Rattus norvegicus: one gene and its partner. The protein of the gene in region 1 interacts with the protein of each later gene in a pairwise test. Links are inferred from orthologs where the notes say so. Each region holds a gene or a part of one and is shown on either strand. Other genes may lie near its edges.

Evidence for each region. The genes of interacting proteins can lie anywhere in the genome.
Region 2: the proteins of Meox2 (region 1) and Chrd interact in binary tests that used the Homo sapiens proteins (3 or more experiments, as listed by UniProt). The two-hybrid records come from large-scale screens. The link is inferred for Rattus norvegicus from reciprocal best matches to the Homo sapiens genes MEOX2 and CHRD.

The regions. Positions count from the first base shown.
Region 1 is NC_086024.1:59,581,879-59,587,651, forward strand, and holds the start of Meox2 (homeobox protein MOX-2), read left to right. Parts: upstream 1-2,146; 5' UTR 2,147-2,338; coding exon 2,339-2,852; intron 2,853-5,773. UniProt on the Homo sapiens protein: Mesodermal transcription factor that plays a key role in somitogenesis and somitogenesis and limb muscle differentiation. Required during limb development for normal appendicular muscle formation and for the normal regulation of myogenic genes.
Region 2 is NC_086029.1:93,681,513-93,686,957, reverse strand, and holds the start of Chrd (chordin precursor), read left to right. Parts: upstream 1-1,857; 5' UTR 1,858-1,878; coding exon 1,879-2,026; intron 2,027-2,148; exon of another isoform or gene 2,149-2,196; coding exon of another isoform or gene 2,197-2,262; coding exon 2,263-2,366; intron 2,367-2,752; coding exon 2,753-2,882; intron 2,883-3,019; coding exon 3,020-3,148; intron 3,149-3,232; coding exon 3,233-3,332; intron 3,333-3,431; coding exon 3,432-3,519; intron 3,520-3,860; coding exon 3,861-4,002; intron 4,003-4,117; coding exon 4,118-4,246; intron 4,247-4,332; coding exon 4,333-4,415; intron 4,416-4,492; coding exon 4,493-4,640; intron 4,641-4,784; coding exon 4,785-4,891; intron 4,892-5,011; coding exon 5,012-5,131; coding exon of another isoform or gene 5,132-5,190; intron 5,191-5,445. UniProt on the Homo sapiens protein: Dorsalizing factor. Key developmental protein that dorsalizes early vertebrate embryonic tissues by binding to ventralizing TGF-beta family bone morphogenetic proteins (BMPs) and sequestering them in latent complexes.

The DNA.
Region 1 (5,773 bases):
CAGAAAAATCAAAATACTTTGCAATCTTATATGAGGAAGACGTTTCCCACTCTCTTTTGTAATTCTTAAAAAAGCCAAGGGGGTGGGCAGTGGCAGAAGAAATAGTCTCAAGCTTTAAGTCCAGGAAACGAACCTGCCTGTACCTAAAGTTTTGGCTGCCACTGACCGCACCCCAAGAATGCTCAGCTCCCCTTGTCAGGATTAGATTCCCAAATTACAGGCAAAGAACCTTACCTTAGTCAAAGACTTGCTGCAGGTTCCAGCTCACTCTCAGACTGAAAAGTTGAGCAGCTGGTGAACAAAAGTTTTAGGTTCTTTTTTTATTCCCTAACGAAGTCTGCAAAACTAATTTCCCTCAAAATAGGGCTCAATTTCCGTTAAAGAAAGCAGTGCTTACAAATCTTGGAACTCCTGATCAACCCCCACTCCACCCCATCTCTAAGTAGTGAAAAACAATTCGACTTTTCACACGGTTGTTAAAGTTTGTTTGGAAGTCCCTTTTCTGGAGAACCTCTTAAAATAAAGGACAACAGACTGAAGATTCCAGAAGGGCCGGCAGAGGGAAAGGCTCTGCCTTGGGGACACACCTCCCAAATTAATCAATACCTTTTCCTAATTTAAGCCAGATGTCTAGTTCAGGTTGCTGTACTCATTAATCCCATTAGCAATTTCAAAGACTTGACCATCATCTTCTGGTCACCCAGACAATAAACATATGGCAGTTAACCGTAGTGGCACGCCCAAGCCCTGAACACAGTAGGCTACTGCAGACATCCTCCTTGTAGACACTTCACAGACAGGACCCACTTTCCTGCAGCTCATTCTCCAAAGCTTGTTGTGGGTTAAAGAGAGGACCTCTAGTAGACTCTGTGGCAGGTCAAGCAAGCTAAAGGCTGTGTCAACCGCAACCCGGCTCTCACAAATTCACCAGTGGGCAAGTTTCGTAGTTCACTTCCAGGAGCCCAGGCTGTAAACCTGGGGGAAATGAACCATCATAGCAGGGTCGACTCTGAGGAAATGTTGAGTTTGCTATCTGCTTAAAACAGAGAGGTGGCAAGGAACGAACGGAATGTATGCAAAGAGGAGCACTGTAAGCTAAAAAAAGAAATTTCATTTCTCAACGGATGGGGGACGGGGTGGTGTGTGTGTGAATTGGCTCCTGTAGGGTTAGACTAGAAAGGGTGAAGCTGGGAGCAACTTATACTTGCTCAATTGATGTTTCTTAGGGTTGTTCCTGACCCAGAAAACTTTCCCAGTGAGCGAGTGTTGAGGAAATTGAACAAACTGGGTTGTTAAAGAGACATAGGGCTGGGAGGACACGGTCAGAAACAGAAGAAAGGGGGACACCACTTGGAGTGGCACATAAATATGTGCCACCAAGGCACCAGAACTTGCATCCATCTCTGCTTAAGGCACACCCCACTGGCTACCTCTCCATTCCGCACTCAGAGTAGCTCTGTGCTATCCTTGGTGCTCAGCCCTACAACCTCCTCTCTGGTGCGGGTTTTCTAACAATCTATCCTAAAACACCTAAAAGGGAAAAATATAATGTGCCCCTGAATGCGGGAAGTGCGAGTGGTCTTGGAGTTTGAAAAGCTAGACTGCTTCGCTCTTTTCCTTCTCTTGAACTCTAATAAGTTCTCTGTGATCTGAAAAGTCAGAGAGCGCCTGTAGGTGACTGCAACCCCCACCAAGGCTGGGAAATCTAGGTTCCAAGAACAGTGAGCGAGCACAGACACGGGGTGCTGGCTTAGCATAGTCGAGTGCTTCTGTGTCTGGCCACGGGAATCTATGGGATAGATCGCGGTGGTGTCCCTGAGCTACTGAGGCTCTGGGCGCTCCACTAACTGTTGTGGAAGCTCCCAGGACCCGACGGGCGTGGGGCAGCCGCTCCTGTCCTGCCAGCAATTGGGAACTGGAAATGAGAGAGTACGGTGGCGCTGACTGAGCGGGAGTTTTGGAGGGAGTTTGCATGTGGTCAGCGCTGGGCTCCTAAGCCAGCCCCCAGCTCACATTACACTCTATTTATAACCTCTCAGAGCCATTTCCCCCCCTGAAAGCAGTTCTCTGGGACCACCTTCTTTTGGCTTCCACCTCTCCCACACTTGACATCTGAGCAGCTGCAAGGGAAGCTCCTCCAGGTCCTAGTGTTTATACGTGCAGGAGACTGGCCGCTCGGCTCAGGACTGGGATTAGCGGGCTCTGCTCAAACCCGCGCGGCTTTTACATTAGGAGTGAGTGGGGGAGAGTCCTAGGATTTCTAGTGAAAAGTGACAGCGCTTGGTGGACTTTGGGACCTTCGTGAAGTCTTCTGCTTGGAAGCTGAGACTTGCATGCCATGGAACACCCCCTCTTTGGCTGCCTGCGCAGCCCCCACGCCACAGCGCAAGGCTTGCACCCCTTCTCGCAGTCTTCTCTGGCCCTCCATGGAAGATCTGACCACATGTCCTACCCCGAACTCTCCACATCTTCCTCGTCTTGCATAATCGCGGGATACCCCAATGAGGAGGGCATGTTTGCCAGCCAGCATCACAGGGGGCACCACCACCACCACCACCACCACCATCACCACCACCAGCAGCAGCAGCACCAGGCTCTGCAAAGCAACTGGCACCTCCCGCAGATGTCCTCCCCGCCAAGCGCGGCCCGGCACAGCCTTTGCCTGCAGCCTGATTCCGGAGGGCCCCCGGAGCTGGGGAGCAGCCCTCCGGTCCTGTGCTCCAACTCTTCTAGCCTGGGCTCCAGCACCCCGACCGGAGCCGCGTGCGCACCAGGGGATTATGGCCGTCAAGCGCTGTCACCCGCAGAAGTGGAGAAGAGAAGTGGCAGCAAAAGAAAAAGCGACAGTTCAGGTGAGTGTCGGCAAAACAATCCTGGGGAGAGTGCGCTCTGGGCTAGGAAGATGCAGGGGAGGTAGGGATGGTTCTTGTAGAAAGACAAACTAAGAAGCAGCTAGCGTTTCCTCTCTCTGGTGGCCGAATTCATCTATGCAGGGTCGGCCCTGTAATTCAGGAGCACGTGTTTCACTGAAGTTAATATATCTACATCCAGCCGTTCAAAGCCCCCCAAGATCGCAAATCAGTTTTCCAGAAGCGTTGAAGAAAGAGCAAGTGACACTATGCGAAATCGGTTAAGGAGCGTGGCGGTCCATCCACTGGTTGGGCGGGGTGTGCTCTTTGGGATGCTGCATCCTCTGGGCGTGCGTGCATGTCTCTGTGTGTGCGTGCATGCGGTTCTCTTTGACTTTTTCTTTCCAATTCCCAACTCTGAACAGCTAGACTTTTCCTATCATTAGCTTGGTTTCCACATTATTGCACAATATCTTGAACTTTAACTGGATTTGACAAAATACGCAAAAATAGAAAAGAAAAAAGAAAAAAAAAGAAAGAAAAAGAAACCCAAAACTTTTTATTTACATTTTATTTTCAGAGTTCCTTAAATAGCATTTACTTAAAATGATATTTAAAAAGCATTCTATTCATTTGGCGAAAAAGACATTATCCAGTAATCTAGAAGTGTTTAAGGAATACATCTGAAAATTGCGAATAAATAGATAAGGGCTTGACGAAAGGGTATTCTTATAGTGATTACACTCATGTGGTGCTAACATAGGATAAAACAAAACAAGCAAAAAAAAATCAATCAGCCAACTAAAGGAAACAAAACTTTTGAATTTCAAGAGTGGAAAATAAAAGCCTTCACCAATTGAGTACTGCTTGGAGGTGCAGCGAAGAGAGCTGACAGACAACAGCTCTGACAGCGCTGGAAGAAGATACAGAGAAAGTGTGGGTAACCTGAGCAGCCCAACAAAAGGGGAGCCTCCCAGAAGAATTCAGGGGCCTGAAAGTTCAATAGCCAGTACATCCCGGCAGCCCAGTAAAACTGAAAATTTCCAGGAAGCACAACAAAGCCCTTAACTATATTCCTCATTGTAAAGATGTTTACTTTCTTCCTTTCTTCTTTCCTTCCTACCTATCTTTCCTCTTTCCGTTTTCCCTTCTTTCTTTCTGTTCTTTCTTTCTTCCATTGAATCTTCCCTGTAGTTACAAGGCAACCTGGATACAGATTTTGGAAGACATCACTTAACTAGCACAGTGTTTGCATTTATTTAATTTTCTGTGTTAGCGACTTGAAAGTTAGAACATACAATTTGAGGCATTAGTTTGAAGAATTGAAAAAAAATCGCATTTGCAGTGTAGGACAGTAAGGGCTGTGTATTTTGTAAGGGGTTGAAAGATGATAGAAACTTTTCTTGACCCCAGTGTGGGCTGACTGCTTCCTTCCCAGCCGCGTTGAACCTGCGATTTTCTAGGTCCAGGGTGAACTTTTAATGCTCCATCATGATTAGTTATGTCTAAGAATGTTACCACACTGTCATTTTGTTTAGCGGTTATTGCTGAATGTGCGTGAAATCCTAAGACACTGAGAAGGTTCCTAAGAAGGCATTAGAATCCGCTGGGTTTCCTCAGATTGGGCTTCATGAGCACAAATGCTCCATTTGCTTCTGCAGGTTGGTAGTTACCTCAGGAAGGACCAGAAGCCCCATTCCCTGTTTTCTTTCTGCAAGGGGGAAACTGACCTACTTCTGAGCTGAACCAATGCCCTAAAGATTATTTGCGCACACGAAGGAATTTTTGTTCAGGCACAAGTTATTTTTGGGTGGGGAAACAGGGAAAGTGAGATGCCAAGCTCTTCCCAATTTGTTTTACTATTTAATATAACGGTCTTAATTCAACGTTATTTAATATAATGGTCTTAATACTGACTAGCAGTGGTTTTCATCACCTTTACCAGGGGCAAGTAAGCACACAGCAACGCCAAGCTTGTTTTAGCATGGTGAAACTCGTTTAAACACCAAAACAAGTAAAGAGAATAAACATTTGTGCCAACCACCCAGTGTATTAATACGTTACAAAGATGGGAAATATAATCAATAGGAAGGATAATGTCACTGGGGTTGACTGAGAATGAATGTTCCCATTGATAGACTACCGAAGTCAAGCATCAATTTTCTTGGTACACTATTGAAGATCAAATCTATGTCCTCAGACTCTGAGTTAAAATCAATTAGATCACAGGTATGCTTAACTCCAAGCCATTCTTGGTCCTATTCCAATTTATACAGCAAACATTCAATTCAAGGTCAAATCATTTCATAGTATTGTGAAAACAGTTTGACTTACGAGACATCAAAGTAACAGAAAAACAGCTACCATCCTGTTCTGTTATCAATATATGAGCCTTGGCACAGTTGGCTATTGCATCACTTCATAATTAATTAATGTTCAATAAATTATATTGGACAATCTGAGACTATATTATATAAAAATTAAATCATGCATAGTAGCAACTATTTATTTATTTAAGCATTTTATAATCACTATGTATTTATCGTTGGCACTATAGACAGGGCCTTAATCTATGGCAGTATTGGAAACAAGTATCTATACACCTGAATCTAATACCAGTGTATGTGTGATAACTGCATTAATTTCTAATAAGCAACAGAAAGTAATGTTAAACAACCAAGTCATGTGTAAACATTACACTTTTATCCACAGTAATACTGCAACAATTTCAATGTAAAATACTGTCCAGTATTTCTGCTCTGAAAACCCACATGAAAGCAGACCTGTACAAATCCAGAAAGCTTACCAGTAGAGAAGCAGAGGTTTATAGACTTTAGACTTCCATTATAGTTAATTAACAATTAAAAATAGCCAGTTTCAAGAGAAAATTATGACATTTTCATAGTATGTGCTAAACATTTTTA
Region 2 (5,445 bases), on another chromosome or scaffold:
TGGGAAAGAGAGGTCTTGTTTTAGATTGGTGACGTTTTGGTTCCCGACTCTCCAAATTTCTTTTCCCTGAACAGTATCCCTGTGGCTGAAATCTGACAGCACTTTGGCTTTCTTGTGTTCCCTTCCATATTCCCCTGCTCCAGAGGAGTGTCTTTCCTGGTATTTCCCCTTTCCAACTGGCAATGTAGGGATTGCCTATATGAGAGAATGATCATGTTACAGGAAACAGGGTTTGGACGATATGTGGGACCTGGGGAGTGAAGGGATATGCGTTTGGTTAAGACTGAGCCCAGAGCACCTCTTTAATCTCAGCACTTGGGAGGCAGAGGCAGGTGGATCTCAGGAAGTTTGAGGCTAGCCTGGCCTACCTAGTGAGCTACAGGCCAGCCAGGGCTACATAATGAGAACCTGTTTCAAAATGAGAGACAGACAAATAGATTGACTGGGCTTAGGTACCCTTCTTTCTCCTGGAGGTACAGGGACCTGGAGAGCTCAGCTCTGTGGGCAAGCCTGCCGTTGATTGCTCAATGGTCCCCTTCCAGTCCTACCATTATACATGTGATGAGAGAAATAACCAGGCCCATCTGTTCCTGTCTTAGGAAAGACAGCTGCCGAGCCTCCCCCACAAATACCTCTTTGCTGGCTCCTCTCTCTCTTCCTTTGGCCCTGGCTCTAGCTCCTGTGCTTTCTCCTCAGTCCCTGTCTCCCCACAGTCTGTCCTCTGGGACCCTGGGGCCTGACCCTGCCCTCTCTCCCTTGTTCTTCCTCAGGCTTTCTCCCGTGCCTCCTCTGAGGATGGACTGTCTATTAAGGAGTATGGCCCAGATCCCAGAATTCTCCAGTTGAATAAGAGATACCTCCTAAGATTAGGAAGCCTGATGCTGGGATAGCGGGAAGTGGTGGGGGTAGGAGAGGATGGGGAGGCTTGTCTAGAAAAGCAGGACGAAGGAGGTGGGGAATGACCTGGAGAGGAATAAGGTCCTCCCTCAGATGAAGGAAAACCACCAGTCAGAGGTGATAGATGATACAGTTGGATGGACTTGGGGACAGGTTGGGGTGGTGGTGGAATACGAGTCCACTCGTGGGGAAGCACTGCTTGATTCTGGGAAGCGCAAGCTAGGTTCCTGACCCTGGGAACTGAAGGAAGAGGAGAGACCTCAGAAGGGAAATAGGAATACAGCCAGAGTGAAAGGAAGGAGGTGCTGTGGGTCCTAGGTAGGGGAGGATCGGTATCCTTTTCAAAGACGAGCCCTCATCCTACAGCGGCCCATCCGGCTCACCACTGGTACAGGCCCGAGGCTCAGCCTCTACCCTTCACTAGCCCGAGGCTCTGGTCTTGGGATGGACACCACCTCCAGGGGTGGCCGCAAGGAGTGTGTGTGGGGGTGTCGAGGCCCGCCTCTCCTCCCCCTCTTTGCGCCCCCTGGTTCCTCCCTTCCCCCTACTCACTCCGCTCCCCCCTCCTCCAGTCCCTCCCTCCTCCCCTGCCGGGTCCCAGCCTGTCCCCCTCCCCCACTCGCGATCCGGCCGCTGCTGCTGGGCCGGACCCCCCGGGCTCAGCCGGGCTCCTTGTGGAGCCGCCGCCGCGCCCCGTTTGCTGAAGAGGAGGCCCCGGGCCGGGACGCCTGGCGCGGGCATAAAACGGGCCAGAGCCGGCGCCTAGGGCACTAGAGTGGCGTACGGCCCGGGTCAGCGCCCCTCCGCCCGCTCTCTCCCGCCCCGCCCGGCCGGGAGCGGACTAGGCGACTGCGAGACGAGCCCCTCGCCACTGCCCCCCTCCTGGCCCCGGCCCCCTCTTGCCGGCCCGCCTCCGGTCCGGCCCTACTCCCTCTCCTGCTCCCTCCTCCCGCCCGCCTCCCCAGCTGTCTGCTCCGCGTCATGCCGAGCCTCCCGGCCCCGCCGGCCCCTCGGCTGCTCCTCGGGCTGCTGCTGCTCGGCTCGCGGCCGGCCGGTGGCACTGGCCCTGAGGCCCCCGCACTGCCCATCCGTTCCGAGAAGGAGCCACTGCCTGTCCGGGGAGCGGCAGGTAGGTGGGCGCCAGGGGGAGACGCGGGAGGGGAGAGTCTGGCTCGGGCAAGTCTACATCCACAGGGAGAGGGCCCCGGGCGCAGGTGGCTTCGCGCAGCGGGAGGGTGGGTGGGGAAAGCAGAGGCGGCGAGGTGCGCGGTGCCAGGGGACCAAGGGCCTGGTGGGCAGAGCCCGGAGTAGGCATTACGGCAGGAGCAACCGGACAGCGGCCGCCAGCCAAGCCCGTCCCCGCAGGCTGCTCCTTCGGCGGGAAGGTCTATGCCTTGGACGAGACGTGGCACCCGGACCTGGGGGAGCCTTTTGGGGTGATGCGCTGTGTGCTGTGCGCCTGCGAAGCGGTGAGTGGATATCGCAGCTGCTCGTCCTACCCTAGAGGGTAGCGGAACGCTGGCGTCCTATGCCGTAGTAGACTCAGAGATGCTCTGGGGAAGGCTGGTTCGCAAATCAGAGGAAACCCCTTTCAAGTCTGCGGTGTTGACAGTTATTGATCGCCCACAATGTGACTGGCTTTTAGCCAACTTTCCCCCTCCCGTTACAGCTTTGCTAGATAAATGGCATTATTAGCTCTACTTTGCAGACAGGGACGCCAACGCTAGAGGAGTTAAGAAACTTGTCCAGGGCCATGTAACTTGTAAATAGCAGAGTCGACCGACTCCAGCAGAGTGTCTAACCCTGGGGTCTGATGGTTGCATTCTCTTAATTTTCCTATGTTCTCTGCCATCAGCCTCAGTGGGCTCGCCGTGGGAGGGGCCCTGGCAGGGTCAGCTGCAAGAACATCAAACCTCAGTGCCCCACCCTGGCCTGCAGGCAGCCGCGCCAGCTGCCAGGACACTGCTGCCAGACCTGCCCGCAGGGTGAGGCCGCTGTGCCCCGAGTTAGGGAGGGTGGAAGGCTCTAACACTAGGTCCTGTGCCGCTTGGATCGCGGAGGAGGAGTGGTCCTCCTTGTACCTTGCTGAAGCCGGTGGTCTCATTCCTTATCCCGGATGCAGAGCGCAGCAATCTAGATCCACAGCCGGCTGGCCTGGTCTTCGAGTATCCAAGGGACCCAGAGCATCGCAGTTATAGCGATCGAGGGGAACCCGGCACTGGGGAGCGGACACGTGGTGATGGCCACACGGGTAGGCTGGGACGGAGGTGGGCCTGATGAAATTTGAGTTCCCAGCAAGGCTGACAGTGCTCAGGACAATCTTTTCTTCTCGAAGACTTTGTGGCGTTGCTGACTGGACCGAGGACGCAGGCGGTAGCTCGTGCTCGAGTCTCTTTGCTGCGCTCAAGTTTACGCTTCTCTATCTCCTACCAGCGGTGAGACAAGGGAAAGGGGAAAGACCAGGAGTTGTAAAGGGGGCAAGAAAGAGGAGCCTGTAGGTTATAGATCCAGTCTCACTGGACCTCTCTTCACAGGCTGGACCGTCCCAGCAGGGTTCGGTTCACAGACCCCACAGGCAACATCCTGTTTGAACACCCTGCTGCCCCCACCCAAGATGGCCTGGTGAGATGATGCCATTTAAGAGTGCTTATCCAAAACGGGCACTTGCCGAGAGCATGCTTTGCATTGCCTCCTTTGGTTCTCACAACAGCCCAGTGGGAGAAAGGCCCTGACATTATGATGCCCATTTTACAGAGGAGGGAACTGAGGCTCAGAATAGCAGAATGTGATTTGTTCAAGGTCATTGGCTAGTAAGTGGTAAGCCAGGACTTAACATTAAGGCTCCTGGGTCCTTCTTAGAGGGTCTGGGGTCCCCCTTCCATACTCCTTCCTCATTAGGCCTGGGTCTTTTAGCTGGCTTGTTCTGCATACTTACGGTAGACTTTCTTCCCTCTTCTCTCTAGGTCTGTGGGGTGTGGCGGGCAGTGCCTCGGCTGTCTGTGAGGCTCCTGAGGGCAGAGCAGCTGCGTGTTGCCCTTGTGACACCCACTCACCCTTCAGAAGAAGTCTGGGGGCCTCTCATTTGGCAGGGTGCTCTCACTGCAGGTAGGGGGGGGGAGTGAGCAGTTCTTAGATGTCAAGAGCTGCACCTTCAATAGCCCAGGGGTCGGTGGACTGAAGAGAGGATTTCTCATGGCTGTCATGGTCCTCCACTCCCCAGAGACCTTCAGTGCCATCCTGACCCTGGAGGACCCACTGCAGCGGGGTGTCGGGGGCATAGCCCTGCTCACTCTCAGTGACACAGAAGATGCCTTACATTTTTTGCTGCTCTTCCGGGGTCTGCTGGGAGGTGAGTAATGGGGAAGATGTACGTACATGAGGGTGTTAGGGAGGGTGCTCACCTCTCAGAAATGCTCACACAAGCGGCACTTGCAGGACTAGCTCACGTCCCCTTGAAGCTTCAGATTCTCCACCAGGGACAGCTACTTCGAGAGCTCCAGGCCAATGCCTCAGCTCAGGTAAGGGAAGGCCTGCATCTCGTTGCTACTTCCTCTGACCTCTTGCTGTTGCCCACCACATTCTGCTCTGCTCACAGGAGCCAGGTTTTGCTGAGGTGCTGCCCAGCCTTACAGACCAAGAGATGGACTGGTTGGTGCTGGGGGAGCTGCAGATGGTCCTAGAGAAGATGGGTGGGCCAGAGCTACGCATCAGCGGGTATATCACGACCAGGCAGAGCTGTGATGGTGAGGAAGGGCGGGGCCTGGCACTGTGGTACAAGTAACTCAGAGGCACGAACATGTGCTAAAGAAGAGGCCAAATAGATACGAGAGAGTTCTTGGGGACCTGGGTGTGGGCAAACCTGTTGCCACCTGTCTTGTCCCCTGCAGTCCTTCAAAGCGTCCTCTGTGGGGCTGATGCCTTGATCCCAGTCCAGACGGGTGCTGCTGGCTCAGCCAGCTTCATACTGCTAGGAAATGGCTCCCTTATCTATCAGGTAAAAGTCAGCAGCTGTAGGGGACAGGGAGGCCAGCAGGGCAGGGCCTTGACCTGCAGGGGGAAAGGCCCTAGGTCTTGGCTGTCAATCCAATTGCCCTCCCCCAACCTTGCCCACCAGGTACAAGTGATAGGTACAGGTAGCGAGGTGGTGGCCATGACGCTGGAGACCAAGCCTCAGCGGAAGAACCAGCGCACTGTCCTGTGCCACATGGCTGGACTCCAGCTGGGAGGACACATGGTGAGGGCTCCAGGCAGAGTTGTGCCAGGGCTGCCAAAACATGGGCTGCGGGAAGCCAGGTTGGTTGAGCAGAGGTGTGTAGTACTGTTCACCCGCTCGTTGGTTCTCTCGGCGAGTCCTTTGTTCATTTGACACGTTTTAGTAAGCCTTAGGCTGGAACCCTTGTTCTCGGCAAGCTAACAGTTAAATAGGGAGCGCCACTCCTGGGAACAGCGAGATAGCCTGTGCGATAGTACTAACCGTGCCTTTGGTGTCTTTCTGTCAGGCATGAATGTGGTTGGCTTCTTTATGTACCGTGACTTTCGCAGTACCCT